4 linked regions of the Oryctolagus cuniculus genome follow. The protein of the gene in region 1 interacts with the protein of each later gene in a pairwise test. Links are inferred from orthologs where the notes say so. Each region holds a gene or a part of one and is shown on either strand. Other genes may lie near its edges.

Region 1 (4,048 bases):
GGCTGAGGCAGGAAGGAAGGAACGACGGACGGAAGAAGGCGGCGACGGAAGGAGGGAGGAGGAGCCGCAGCGGCGCGGCAGGGTCCGGGCGCTGGGCGGGACGTGGAGGCTCCGCCCCCGGCCCCGCCCCCGGCGCGAGGAGGGCGGTGGCGCCGGGCCCGAGCCGCTCACCTGGCGCGCCCCCAGCCTGGCGGCGTGCGGGGCGAGCCGGGAGGAGGGCGGCGGAGGGCCCGCTGGCGTCGCACCCGGAGGCCCCGGTCACAGTGCGTGCGCCCGAGCTCCACCTTTGGTACCGTCTCCCCAACTGGTGGCGAAGGGGGCAGGGCCTTACCTGCCGCCCCCACATCACCTCCCTTCTTGGGACCCAAGTCCGGCCTGCTAGACTCGACTGGAACCCTGTGGCCTCCCGGGAATCCAACCTCTTGTGGGACCGCAGGCTTGGGCTATACCGTCCTTAAATAGGAGGGGCTGAGTCTCGTTAACAGAACGTGGTGCTTCAAGACAGTACTCAGTGGGGTTCTTGCAGCTAAGCATCTCCCCCGGGACACAGGACAAGCGTTTACCGTTTTCCTTAGGGGAGAAGTGGGAGTTTGGGAGCACACTCACCCACCCCGTCCTTTCCTTCCCCCGGCCATGCACCTCCCTTCCACCCTTTTCTTTACCCCTTCTGCACCCCACCCCCGGGGAACCTCCCTCTCATCTTTGTTCCCAGGCGTCCCCTACCCCGCTTCGGCAGCCTTTCCTCGGCGGGGTTCCCTCTCCGGCCCCTTCCTCTCTGGGAGTGTTCAGTGCTGCTCCCCGCTGCTCACCCCCGGCTCCCGCAACCTCTCTAACGCCGGCCAGCCCCGGTCGCTGCCCTCTACCCCGGCTGTCCTCTCGCCCAGCACACCTACACGCCTGCTCTCCCGCGCCACCTGTTCCCCTCGACCTCCCCCCACCCCGCTCCGTGCGTCCCCTGCTCAGCTGTCCCGCTGTCCCCGCGGCTGCCCGGCGCTCGCTCACACACTTGCCGAGCGCCTTCCACAGAGGAATCAGGCGAGCGGCGGGGACAGCCCCAGGCGGGTGGGGGAGGGCGAGGGGCGAGGGACGGAGTAGGTTCACTCTAACCTAGGAATGACGGCCCCTCCTGGTCCGCCCCCTGCGTTCTCTGATAGGTGGATCCGCCTCTGATCCGCCCCCTCCCCGCCCTGTGGCGCCGCCGATTGGCCCAGCAGCGTGTCGGGTTGGGCCGCTCAGCCCGGCGCTCGCCCCCGGGAAGGCAGCAGGGGCGGTTGAGAAGTGAAGTCTTGGCCAGAGTTTGCTTCTTGCCGGGAAACCCGCGACTGCGGCGGCGGCGATTCCCGGAGGAGCGGAGCCTGGCCGACTCCCGGCTCCCTCGGCGGGCCGCGGAGAGCGGGAGCTGGCGCCTGGCTGCGGCGCCGGGAGCCCCTGCGCGCCCCGGGCAGCCGCGCTTTCCCAGTGAGTAACTTTGCCTTGCCCTCCCCGCCGTGCGCTCTCTTCGCCGGCTGCCGGCAGCCGCCTCAGGTGCGGGGTGTGGGGCAGCGCCGCAGCCCGCGCTCGAGCCGCCGTCCTCCTCGGCTCCGTTTGCTCGCCTGGGCTGCGGGGCCAGCGCGGAGCCGAGTGCGGGGCTGGCCAGGCTGGTCCGGGGAGGAGGGGACGGCTGCCCGGCGCCTGGCTCCTGGCGCCCGGCGCCCGGCTGGCGAGTGGAAGGCGGGCGGCCCGGGGTTTGGCATTGGGTGGTTCTGGCCACCGCGGTGCGGATCTTTGCGTCGTTTGCTCTTTAGGGGAGACCAGAGGTGGTGGTGATTTTTTTTTTTTTTTTAATTTCGCGTGTGTGTTGGGAATGAGTGTGGCTCCAGCTGCTTCCCCGTCGGATTTCGTGCCCCTGGAAAGCAGTGGAGGGACATCGGCCCCAGCCTGTTGCCCAGGAATCCTCAGGCTGGAGACGAACTCCTGGGGGTAATTTCAAAATACGGATCTTGATTTGGAAGCATTGCACACAAAGCAACATGAGGCATTCAGGAAACACATCCCTCTCTTTATGCCACGTCTTAGACAACTACTTCCAACTTAGATGTAGGGTTTCTAATAGTATTTCAGTTATGGATCCTGACTTTTGGATTTGCCTAGAGTTAAAGTACATTCATGCATGGGCTTCCCTGTATAGATTTTCCTTTTTTTTTTTTTTTTTTTTAAATCACAAGAATCAGAAACGAAGTTGAAAGAAAAGTGGTCTTAGGGCAGGAGGAACAGTTGTGAGCTCCAGTTTATTGGAACTGGCCTCACTAGGAATTTCGCATTCTTGAGGCAATAGTACTTACTTGCAAACTGGCCTTCTTCCCAGGAAAGATTTTGATTTTTCTGTTGCACACACTGTGACACAGCACTGATGCAGTTGGATACCAGTGGATCAATTTTAATGCACTTTGAAAGATTTGTTTCCCACCCCCACAGCCCTTTGGAAAGAGGACTTTGGCAGGTAAAGGAGGAAGGGGGAGGAGGGATCTAGTATCCTGTTGGGCCTGTCAGAGCTTTGTTGAGCCAGGAATAACAAAGTTTGGCCTTTTTAGCTTGTCCAACTCTCATATGTGAGTTTTCCCATAGGGATAAAATCTAGGCCAAGTCAGAGCCAAAGTAGAATAACTCTGCTCTTTATTTGGCCCACTTGTGTGTCAACATTCTTAATTCTGTATCTTGTTCCTCTCTTCATGAAATTTTGGAATTTTTCATTATTCATTCAAACCACTGATAAAATGCCTACTGCATGCCAGGCGTTGATGGCAGGGTCAGTTCTTGCTCAGAAGTTGCTCGAACTCTCATTTGGAAGCTGGTCCTCACCTCTGGTCCACTGCTTATCAGAAAGTAACTTGAACAAAGTGCTATGGGAACTTAGAAGATGGAGCATTTGCCTGGGGTTTGTTAGAGGAGGCCTCACATGGGCACTCTTCAGGTTGGTGTGGGATTTTACCAGGTACAGCCTAGGCCAAGGGACTGACATACATGCCCCTTGCAAGTGGCTGCATGTGTTAGAGAGTTGCTTTATGAAATCTGTGTTTGGTCAGCTTCACCAAGGGACACAGTGTCTGTAGTTGAAGTAGTAGTCAGGGGTGGTATGTTACTCATTTCAGACTTAGCATTTTGCCTTGCTTACAGCAGGCACTCAAATGCTTACTGAACTGACTTCAGCAGAAAAATGGAGGATTTTGCATAACGAATTAGAAAATTTGGACCTCATCCAGTCAGTGATATAGAGCTGCTAATTTTTAAGCAAGGAAATATCATAACATTTGCGTTCCAGAAAGATATCTGCAGTGGCCTGGGGGAGGATGGGCATCCAGGTGGGAGGTAGGGAGACAAAGTCAGAGGTTGTTAGAATGTAGGGGTTAAGTCCTCAGGGGCTTTTTATTTAGATATTTGGGTTTGAACTTGGCTGTGTCATTTACTGCACAACCTCTTTGTTCAGTAGGTTCTTCATCTCATAGGGCTCGAGGGACTAAAATGTAAAAGAAACCCCAAAATTCTGTATATTAGAATAGTGTGTGGCATGCATTGAGGACTTAGTATATACTAATTGTCTTTCTGTATGAAGGCAATGGCAGGACAGGTGATATGGCATTTAGGAGGTATGGCTAGGAGGCTGGACTAGGTAAGTGGGCAAGACTAATGAGACAAGGATAATGCCTGGGTTTTCTGACTTGAGGCATTGGCATGTACAGTATACAGGTTAAGCTGGCTTTGGAGTCAGAACAGGGGTTGAATTCTAATTCTGTCACCTTCCCTTAGGATTCCTGTCCCGAGTTTGGATTTCCTAACATTTCGGAGATGATCCTAGTACCTGTTTATTAGTGTTTGCGGATCAACTGAAATTACACATGTAAATTCCCTTGGAACAGTCAAGTGCTTAATAAATATTAGTTGTTCCTTTAGTGATGATGACATTAGTGAGAGAGTAGAGGGCAAGGGGATATAAGAAGGAGCAGTAAAAACAGCTTATAGGCCAGCGCCGCGGCTCACTAGGCTAATTCTCCGCCTGCGGCGCTGGCACCCC
Region 2 (3,500 bases), on another chromosome or scaffold:
CAACATGACCGAGCGGCGGCGCGACGAGCTGTCGGAAGAGATCAACAACCTGCGCGAGAAGGTCATCCGGCAGTCGGAGGAGAACAGCCAGCTGCAGAGCCAGGTGCAGAAGCTCACGGAGGAGAACAGCACCCTGCGAGAGCAGGTGGAGCCCCCTGCCGCCGAGGAGGAGGCCGAGGAAGACGAGCTGGAGCTGCGCGGGGCCGCGGCAGCTGCTGCCCCGCCACCCCCCGTGGAGGAGGAGTGCCCCGAGGACCTCCCGGAGAAGTTTGATGGCAACCCGGACATGTTGGCGCCCTTCATATCCCAGTGCCAGATCTTCATGGAAAAGAGCACCCGCGATTTCTCCGTGGACCGTGTGCGTGTCTGCTTCGTCACCAGCATGATGACGGGCCGTGCGGCGCGGTGGGCCTCAGCCAAGCTGGAACGTTCACACTACCTGATGCACAACTACCCCGCCTTCATGATGGAGATGAAGCACGTCTTCGAAGACCCCCAGCGCCGGGAGGCCGCCAAGCGCAAGATCCGCCGTCTGCGCCAAGGCATGGGCTCGGTGGTCGACTACTCCAACGCCTTCCAGATGATCGCCCAGGACCTGGACTGGAACGAGCCCGCGCTCATCGACCAGTACCACGAGGGCCTGAGCGACCACATCCAGGAGGAGCTGTCCCACCTGGAGGTGGCCAAGTCCCTGTCAGCGCTCATCAGCCAGTGCATCCAAATCGAGAGACGGCTGGCCCGGGCGGCTGCGGCGCGCAAGCCCCGCTCCCCGCCGCGTGCGCTTGTGCTTCCCAACGTGTCAGGCAACCACCAGGTGGACCCCACCGAGCCCGTGGGGGGCGCCCGCATGCGCCTCACCCAAGAAGAGAAGGAGCGCCGCAGGAAGCTGAACCTATGCCTCTACTGCGGCACCGGTGGCCACTACGCCGACAACTGTCCTGCCAAGGCCTCCAAGTCCTCGCCGGCGGGAAACTCCCCGGCCCCGCTGTAGAGGGACCTTCAGCGACCGGGCCAGAAATAATAAGGTCCCCACAAGATGATGCCTCATCTCCACACCTGCAAGTGATGCTCCAGATCCATCTTCCGGGCAGACACACCCTGTTTGTTCGAGCCATGATCGATTCTGGTGCTTCCGGGAACTTCATCGACCACGAATACGTCACCCAAAATGGAATCCCACTGAGAATCAAGGACTGGCCAATCCTCGTGGAAGCGATCGACGGGCGCCCCATCGCGTCCGGCCCGGTCGTCTACGAAACTCACGACCTGATTGTAGACATGGGAGACCACCGAGAGGTGTTGTCCTTCGACGTGACTCAGTCTCCTTTCTTCCCCGTGGTCCTGGGCGTACGCTGGCTGAGCACACATGACCCCAACATCACCTGGAGTACCCGCTCCATCGTCTTCGACTCCGACTACTGCCGCTACCACTGCCGCCTGTACACGCACCTGCCGACTGCGCCCCAGCCGCACCTCTACTACCCGGTGGACGGCTACCGCGTGTACCACCCGGTGCGCTACTACTATGTGCAGAATGTCTACACCCCAGTCGACGAGCATGTCTACCCAGACCACCGGCTGGTGGACCCCGGCATAGAGATGATCCCAGGAGCGCACAGCATCCCCAGCGGGCACGTGTATACCCTGTCGGAACATGAGATGGCGGCGCTGCGAAACTTCGTGGCCAGGAACGTGAAGGACGGGCTCATCACCCCCACCATCGCCCCGAACGGGGCCCAGGTCCTGCAGGTCAAGAGGGGCTGGAAGCTGCAGGTGTCCTACGACTGCCGCACTCCGAACAACTTCACCATCCAGAACCAGTATCCTCGTCTGTCCCTCCCCAACCTGGAAGACCAAGCCCATCTGGCCACCTACACCGAGTGTGTACATCATGTGCACTGCTGCCATTCTTGTCATTCATGCCATTTTTATCATTTGTGCCAAAGGTGCCATTCGTACCATGCCTACCCTTCGTACCCAGCCTACCCTGTGGGCTACGCCTGGTACCCAGTGGGCCGAGACATACAAGGAAGAGCGCTCTACATCCCTGTCATGATCACCTGGAACCCGCACTGGTACCGCCAGCCCCCCGTGCCGCAGTACCCCCCGCCGCAGCCGCCGCCGCCGCCGCCGCCGCCCCCGCCGCCGCCGTCGTCCTACAGCTCCCTGTGAGCCCGCTCGAGGCCGCGGGACCCCCGCCCTCCGGGCCTCCTCCTGTCCAGCTTCCCCGTCAGTGACTGTGTGCTGAAGGCGGCCGCCGGTGCCGCAGGTCAGGCATCGGCCAGCGCCTGCCCGCTGCGCTCTGCCCCGACTGCCATCTCGCGGGAGTCCACCTTCCAGCCTCCGTCACCACCCGGATTTCTAGCTGCCAAATTCTGAACCCAGAAGCTGACCCCACACAGGAAATGCTGACTTCTCCGAGGAGGGGGAGCGGAGGAGGAGGACAGGACTTCTCGCAGTTTCGGTCCTCTGAGTTACACCCCTGGAGGACCCGCGCCTTATGAAGGAAGCCGCATTTACTGGTGCAGTGGGCAGAGGCTTCCGTGATGCTAGTGCTGCACCTTCAGAAACTTCACCTTCTTCGAGCTCCACGTTCATGGTTCCGTTAATTCTCAAGGAGCAGCAACTCGACCGGTTCTCCCAGGAGCGGGCAAAACCCCTGCAACAGGAAACACCTCAGGCCTGGAAAGGAAGTGCTCTATCAGAGACTCTGGCGCGTTAAGAGTGTGCCTTCACACCCTGGTGCAAATCACACGTACCCAAGAACTCTGGCTCGACACAGCATCGACACAGCATCGTACCATCACCACGCCAGGAACAGCTTCCACCAAGCGTTCCGTGTCTGTGACGTGTCATGACCACCTCTCAATGACGCGCGTGGGCCGAAGAACAGCGAGTGGATAGGACTCCTAAACCCTGTACCCAACTCTTAAGAGACTCAGAGTTCCTTGTTTCCAACTTTTAGTGGTCTTTCAGAGGGAGTTTTCACGAGTGTTGGTGACGGGTTGCAACAGCAGCAGCTTACAGTTTTGGAAACATCTATCTGTGTGTGTGCCTCCATACGCATCTGGGCATTCCATCCTCAGTTCCCTCATTGGACTGTACCATTTTAGGATGCTGAGAGAGGGGCAATGATTTTGCACTCAGACCCACACTCCTGTACAAGGGAGGGATGGATGTCTTTGAGGAAGAGAAATTGTCTTGAGGATACTGACCTTCCTGGTGAGCTTTTTCATTCAACAGGGTGACCTGATGTAACCACTTTGAAAGGATCCCTCCAGGTGATGGAGCCAACATGAAGCTCTCAAAAATTGGGTGAAAGGCCTCACACACAGCTGTTGCCAATCCAGTGACCCCTCTGGTGTCAGCTGGACGCTCTGTGCTAACCTGGGACTGCCTGACTTCTTTAGCCTGGTCCCTTGCTATTACCTTGAAGTGTTTGTCTAACCTCTTTGTGTTTGATTCTTTACTACTGCCATTAACCCTGATGCAGGATTTGT
Region 3 (3,500 bases), on another chromosome or scaffold:
CCCTGAAGCATTCACCTTTGGAAATAGATATTATTCTATTTTAGATAATCTTTAAATATGGTTTTTGTTTGAAAACTCAGTGTCCCATATCTATAGATGGTATCTTCATGTGCTATATTTATAAATATTTTGACTTTAATTTATTAATAATATATTTATATTTAGACTTTGCACAAAAAAACTTTCTACTATCTGGAACAGTTGATTCTGAAGTATGGAATGCATCAGAATACACTTCGTATCAAAGAGATTCATGGTGAGTTAAAATTGGAAAGAGTTTGAAATTATGTCATAGTTTATTTCAACTTACCTAAGTAATCTTATCTTTCCTGATAGTTTCTGGATTAGTAGTACCATCCAAAAGAACTTTCTGTTAGGAAATTAAAAACGTCTTAGTTCTATATCCTCTCTGTCCAGTGTGATAGTCACTAGTTAGTCATTTGTGGCTGTTGAGTAATTGAAATCTGATTAGTGCAACTAATTAGAGGAACTGAATTTTTATTTTCTCCTATTTTAATTTAAAATTAGATTCAGGTTACATGTGGCTACTCTGTTATATAGCAGAGACTTAGAACTCAGAATTTTTTTCTTTGATTTTCTGCCTCTGCCCAAATTAATGATACTTATCAACCCTCTGGTTTATGATAGATGCCATGCTGTGTTCTTAGAACATAAAGATGAACTGATACTAACTCCTGCCCTCAGTGAATCGTTTGCCTTGTTACCTAATGAGTAACCAGTAACTATGTGAATAAAGTGTTCAATGCTATGATAGAAGATTCATCAAAAACTTATTTTATGTAGTAGAGAGAACAGTTTCTCATTGGAAGAAGTTAATTATTTTTGAGTTCTATAAGTTCTTTCTATACTGTTTTTATGTTTTTCATATCAGAGGATTTATGATGTATACAATAATTCAGAAGTCTAAATTTAGTAATAATAAATAGTGATACCAAATAGTGATACATAAAATATCTGTTTCTCTCTCTTGGCCTTGTATTTTATTTTGTCCTTTTATCAAGCAAATCTTAAATGATATTCCTAATCAGTTATGGCTACAATATAATCTTTATATTTTCTGATTTGATTTTATTTAGTATAGATTTAATTTGTGAAGTAAGTCTTCTTTTACAGAATTTTGTTTTTTTTCAGATGGTCTGGATTTCTATTATTCCTCAAAGCAACATGCTCAGAAGATGGTAGAATTTCTTCAGTGTACAGTTCCCTGTAGGTATGTTCTAAACCTAAATGTGGCTTATTCTGGGGATCTGGGAATAGATATGGGTAACATTGTTGAGGCTTTGACAATATTCTTTAGGTTAAAAATTTTAAAAATCGTAGGAGTACTTACTTATACAGTCAGGAAGCTTTTATTGGTTTAGGCACTTTAAGTGATAGAGTAACTGAAGAGCACGTAAGAATCTCCTTGGGGAGCTAAAACTAACACCGTGATACTAAACACTGTTATGCTGAACCATTGATTAAATGTATTTAAATTATATGAAACAGGAAAAATAGGGTATAAGAGAGCTTTGTGGAAAGCTTTATGGAAGAAGTGGGACTTGTGGTTCAAAAGTGGGAAAAATTTTTCAAAGGTGGAATTTAAAATTTAAAGAAGATACTAGGGTGAACAAAGACTTGCAGTGGGCATTTGGGTAAGTTTTAATGGATAGCATGTAGAGAGCACATTGGTCTGAGCCCAAGTACATATTTTGGAGGCTTTCAGCAGATAAGGTTGAAAATAGATGGAATATAATTAGACCTATGAAGGTTTTAAATTACACGTGGATGAAATTTGCTCTAACATAGCAGACATCAGGAAGCTGTTTCAGACCTTGGACAGTGATAATCTGATTTGATGAAAATTGATATTCCTGTCTTCACAAGAACCTTAGTCTTTATATTGATTTTAATCTTTTTTTGTTAATAGATACAAAGCATCACAAAGACTGATATCTCAAGATATCCATAGTAACACATACAATTACAAAAGCACTTTTTCTGTGGAAATTGTTCCAATATGCAAGGTAATTTTTTAAATTTGATAATTCGTATCTATATAAGAATACAAGTGATTAATTGGTTTGAATGTAGTTTATAACTCCTGGCTTTTTTCTGAACTTGGTGTAAAGTGTAGAATAACGAACTTCAATGATTTCTGAAATATTCAGCCATGTTAAAAAGATACAGAAAAGTAACCATGCTTGTAATTATGAATTGAAATGCATTTCATTTGTTTTTTTAAGATGAAATGTCCTGGTTTCAGTTTTTTAAAAATTCATTTTCCTTAAAACTTGTGATCCTAGTGGACATATGACAGTTCTACAAAACTTTGAATACAGGAAATGATATTAAAATAAGTATTAGTGAGCTTTTTGTGGAACATATGCAAGCAGGATTTTGGCAGGATTAAATTAATCAATATTGTGGAAATGAGATCACGGAATCCTTTTTGTTATTTAAAAGTATCTGAATAAAACCTTTAAATGTAGATTATTTCATTTGATCTTCTAAGATACAAACTACAAAAATGTAAATGATTTAAAATTCAATAAGTAATTATTGAGCATTCACTATATAGAATACTATGTGACTATGTGTTCATGACTAGTCAGCTCTCTACCATGTAGGAACTCACATTTTTATATTAAACCACTAATAATGATAACTACCATTATTTATTGTGAACATTCTATGATGCCATTATCTATTTACTTAAGTATTCACTTTGTATACAGTACTAGAGTAAAATAATAGCCTAAAATAGGGTCAGCAGTTTTTTTTTAAGATGTGTTCATTTTTTTTATTTGAAAGACAGAAAGAGAGAGATACTCCCACTGTTGGTTCATTTCCCAAGTGGCCACAAACAGGGTGAGGCCAGGCTGAGTGAAGAGCCAGGAACTCCATCTTGGTCTCCCACAGGTTGGCAGGAACTCATGTACTTTAGCCATGATTGCTGCCTACCAGCAAGCTTTCTATAAAGGGCTAGATAGTAAATATTTTTTGCTTTCAAACCCTATAACCTCTTTTGCAACTTGTTAGCTCTGCTCTTGTTATACAAAAGCAGCCATGATTAATATGTGAGTGAGTGACCAGAACTGTGTTCCCATAAAACTACCTGTAGCAATAAGTGGTGGTGGGGCTGCAATTGGCCTTGCAGTTAAGACACCTGCATCCTTTATCCTTATGAGTGCCTAGGTTTGATACCTCAGGCTCCTGATAATGCAGACCTTGGGAGCAGCAGTGGTAACTCAAGTAATTGGGTTTGTGCCATGCATGTTGGAGACCTAGGCTGAGTTTGCAGCTCCTGGCTTTGCCCCAGCCGAAGGCTGTTGTGGACATTTGGGAAGTGGACCAATAGATGAGTACTCTGTATATCTGTCTCTCAAAGTTCTTAAATGGTGGACCAAATTTGTCCCTAAGGTCGTTTTTTGCCAACTCCTCTTTTAAAACAATAAACATTTCCTGACATATGAAGCCTAAGAATTAATGAATTTGGG
Region 4 (3,500 bases), on another chromosome or scaffold:
CCTTTTAAATATTTATTTGTTTCAAAGGCAGAGAGGCAGAGAGAGACAGAGTGCTTCTCTATCCAATGGTTCATTCTCCAAATGGCTGCAAAAGAGAGGAACAAGGAACATCATCAGGGTATTTCACATGGGTGGCAGGGACCTAGTTATTTGGGTCTTCTTCTGTTGCCTTCTCAGGCACATCAGCAGGAAGCTGGATGGGAACACAGCAGCCAGGACTAAAGCGGCACTCTGATAAGGGATGTTGGCATCATAAGCAGAAGCATAACCTGCTGTAACACAACAATGTCTCACACATAATCTTTTCAGAATTTGGGAAATTAGGAAAAAAACCATATTTAACATATTTCCAGATTTATATACTTACTTTGGACAATAATATAGAATTTAATGTTTCACAAAACTCTACAAACATATTCACCTGGTTCTATAGCAGCAGAAATCAGGGACTGTGCTTCTCGTACTCTTTTCATAGCCTCCTCTATTTCTTTACTAGAGGTATCAGATTTCAGACTTGGTGAAACAAGACCAGCAGCTACATGATTCAACCTGAAACAGACAAGAATTGAGATCTGAAATATTTTAAGTGTATCCCTGCATTTCAAATGCGTATGTTCCACATAACATTTTTGAAAAACACTCCTTATAAAAAAGGGTGAGGATTCCACAATTTAGGTTAACAATACATTGTAAAGTGTCATTTTGAATATTTACAGTGTGCACCTGCATTTTAATAACTCAGAGATATCTGGAATAAGGAAAATATTCATTTAATTTTGCCGACCATCTATTACCATAGACCTTTTAAGAAATGTTAGTACAAGGCAATGTATTGACACAAAAATTTAACTGACCTTTCCCTTACATGATTAACAACATCCTACTTTTGTTGGGTAGAAAGCACTACTTTTTATTTTGAAGTTGGGAAGAAACTGAGGCAGAGGAAAAATGTCCCAAAGTTACACATGAAATACTGACTGGAAACACTAAAATGTCCCTTAAGAGGTTTTACACATGAAAGAAAAATTATACATATTCAAATTGAGCATGCTAGTTATTTGTGGGAGAGTGGTAATGTAACTAAGAATGGATACACTGGGAGCTTCAACTGTGCTGGTGATATTTTGTCAGCTGGATGGTGGGATTATACTTGAATTTTAACTTTAAGGTAATTTTTAAGAAAACAGCCACTAACTAGTAAAGACATCTGTGGTCTGCAACTTATTGACAGTGACATTTACCAAATTTACCACTTAGCAAATTTTAACATACCAACAAATTACCAATTTAAAAAGTTCCATAAACTTGTTAAATGTCAAGCAGTTAACAATTTTAATTACAACATGAAGTGAGCTTACTAGCGTGTCAAAGTTATTGGCTAAAATTATTTACCTAACATGTTTTACTTCTTTGCTCTGGGACAGTTTTTCCCAAACCCTAGATAGTGAAATGCCAAATCACTAATGGAAACAGAGAAAAACCCTTACTTGGGATCAACAGTACTCATGAGCTTCAGCAACTGATCTGCGGCAAGAGACTGCAAAAACAAAAATATAAGAAAAATGAAAATACAAATAACAGTACATAACTGCTATTTTCTCAGTATGTTTATGTCTCAGTATGTCCTGGAACAATCTGCCAAACCTACAAAAAGCAACATGCTCTGGGCACAACACTAACCAACAGAAATATAAGGCAAGCTATATATCATAGAAAATCTTTTAGTAGCCAAAAGAAAATACCAAAAGAAAACAGGCAACCTTAATGGCCACAATACTGACAGAGGAGCTTTAGCAAGTTATCTAAGATAATGAGGCTGAATAGTCCAGATTTCACAGAATTATCTTTTGATAATTTAAGGCTCTGCCAGTAAAATAGTACTTTCAAGAAACACATAAAGCGAAATCCAAACTAAACTATTTAGCCAGTGTATCAGAAGATCTCCACAAAGTAAGGATTTCAGAAAAAAGTTTAGGCAATTATAATAAAAGAAAAAAAATTCCCATGATAGAAAAACAAATTATGAGCTCATGTTCCCATTCTTTCATGACTATTTACTCTTTTTTCCACAACACTGATGGTGTCCTGGCTTCCTGTGAACCTATTTTCCATTTTGAATTATATGAAAAAAAAAAAAAAAAAAAAAAAAATTTTTATGGGTAACAGGCTAATAATTTAGTGAGCATTAAAATAACTTTTTAACACATTTGACAACAACAACAAATCATTTTTATAATATGGCAGTTAACTCCTGATCTTCAACTGCAAACTATAAATTAATGAAATGAATTTTCGGGGCTGGCACTGCGGCGCAGCGGGTTAATGCCCTGGCCTTAAGCACCGGCATTCCAAATGGGCGCCGGTTCTAGTCCTGGCTGCTCCTCTTCCAATCCAGCTCTCTGCTATGGCCTGGGAGAGCAACAGAAGATGGTCCAAGGCCTTGGGCCCCTACACCCAAATGGGAGACCTGGAGGAGGCTCCTGGTTCCTGATCGGTGCAGCTCCGACCGTTGCGGCCATATGGGGAGTGTACCTCTCTCTCTCTCTGCCTCTCCTCTCTGTAACTCTTTAAAATAAATAAATAAATCTAAAAAAAAAATAAATAAAAAAGAAATTTTCTATACAAAGTGACTCCAAATCTGAAGGGTAATAGTAAGTTGTACCTGAGAGTTCAAGTTTGCTCCAGGAAGCCCTAGTGCAGCAAGGGCAGGATCAAGAGTAGGAGCTCCCAAAGCAGCCAAAGGAACAGCGCCAATCTGAAAAACCAAATTTCATTTATTTAAAACTTCATTTCTGTGCCTTATGCTTCAGGTGAACTTTTTTCCCCTAAAAACAGAGTCTGTAGGCTCAAACTACTCAATTGTACACAAATCCATACAACTATTACCACTGTAGCTGAAAAAGGAACCAAAGACAATACACAAACCAACAGGCAGGCTGAATAAAAAGTATTAACAAAAACAGGCCTGATGCTGACACTGTGGCAAAGGCTGCTGCTTGTGACACTGGAATCCCAGCAGTGCCAACCAATTCAATACCTACCTGGCTCTGCTTCTAATTCAGCTCCCTGCTAATATACCTGGGAAGGCAGGAAGGATAGTCCAACTACTTAGGCCCCTGCCACCCACAAGGGAGACACTTTGTCTTGGCACAGCCCAGGCCATTGCTGCCACATACGAGTGAAATGGCAGATGGAAGACATCTGTCTCTCTGTAACTCTGTCAAACCACCCTACTTTGCCAACTCCTCTTTGTCTGAAGCCTTCCCTCCCATCATCTTTTAAGGATAACTGATTTAAAGGCAGAGTAACAGAAAGGGAGGGAGACAGGTAAAAAGGCAGATGAATCTTATATTTGATGGTTCACTCCCCAAATTCCTGCAATAGCTGGGGCTGGGTCAAGCCAAAGACAGGAAATTGGTTTTCCCTACAAGTAGCAGGAACTCAACTACTTGGGCCATCACCTGCTATCTCCCAGATGTATTAGCAGGATGCTGGATCAG

Evidence for each region.
Region 2: the proteins of LNX2 (region 1) and PEG10 interact in binary tests that used the Homo sapiens proteins (3 or more experiments, as listed by UniProt). The link is inferred for Oryctolagus cuniculus from reciprocal best matches to the Homo sapiens genes LNX2 and PEG10.
Region 3: the proteins of LNX2 (region 1) and NMD3 interact in a two-hybrid assay, tested with the Homo sapiens proteins (3 studies listed by BioGRID and IntAct). The link is inferred for Oryctolagus cuniculus from reciprocal best matches to the Homo sapiens genes LNX2 and NMD3.
Region 4: the proteins of LNX2 (region 1) and SRSF11 interact in a two-hybrid assay, tested with the Homo sapiens proteins (3 studies listed by BioGRID and IntAct). The link is inferred for Oryctolagus cuniculus from reciprocal best matches to the Homo sapiens genes LNX2 and SRSF11.

Annotation. Positions count from the first base shown.
Region 1 is NC_091440.1:86,898,217-86,902,264, forward strand, and holds the start of LNX2 (ligand of Numb protein X 2), read left to right. Parts: upstream 1-1,248; 5' UTR 1,249-1,458; intron 1,459-4,048.
Region 2 is NC_091447.1:41,286,235-41,289,734, reverse strand, and holds part of PEG10 (retrotransposon-derived protein PEG10), read left to right. Parts: coding exon 1-991; coding exon of another isoform or gene 992-2,172; 3' UTR 2,173-3,500.
Region 3 is NC_091435.1:119,367,155-119,370,654, reverse strand, and holds part of NMD3 (60S ribosomal export protein NMD3), read left to right. Parts: intron 1-165; coding exon 166-256; intron 257-1,152; coding exon 1,153-1,231; intron 1,232-1,930; coding exon 1,931-2,027; intron 2,028-3,500. UniProt on the Homo sapiens protein: Acts as an adapter for the XPO1/CRM1-mediated export of the 60S ribosomal subunit.
Region 4 is NC_091438.1:102,150,017-102,153,516, forward strand, and holds part of SRSF11 (serine/arginine-rich splicing factor 11), read right to left. Parts: intron 2,756-3,500; coding exon 2,663-2,755; intron 1,538-2,662; coding exon 1,488-1,537; intron 550-1,487; coding exon 422-549; intron 1-421. UniProt on the Homo sapiens protein: May function in pre-mRNA splicing.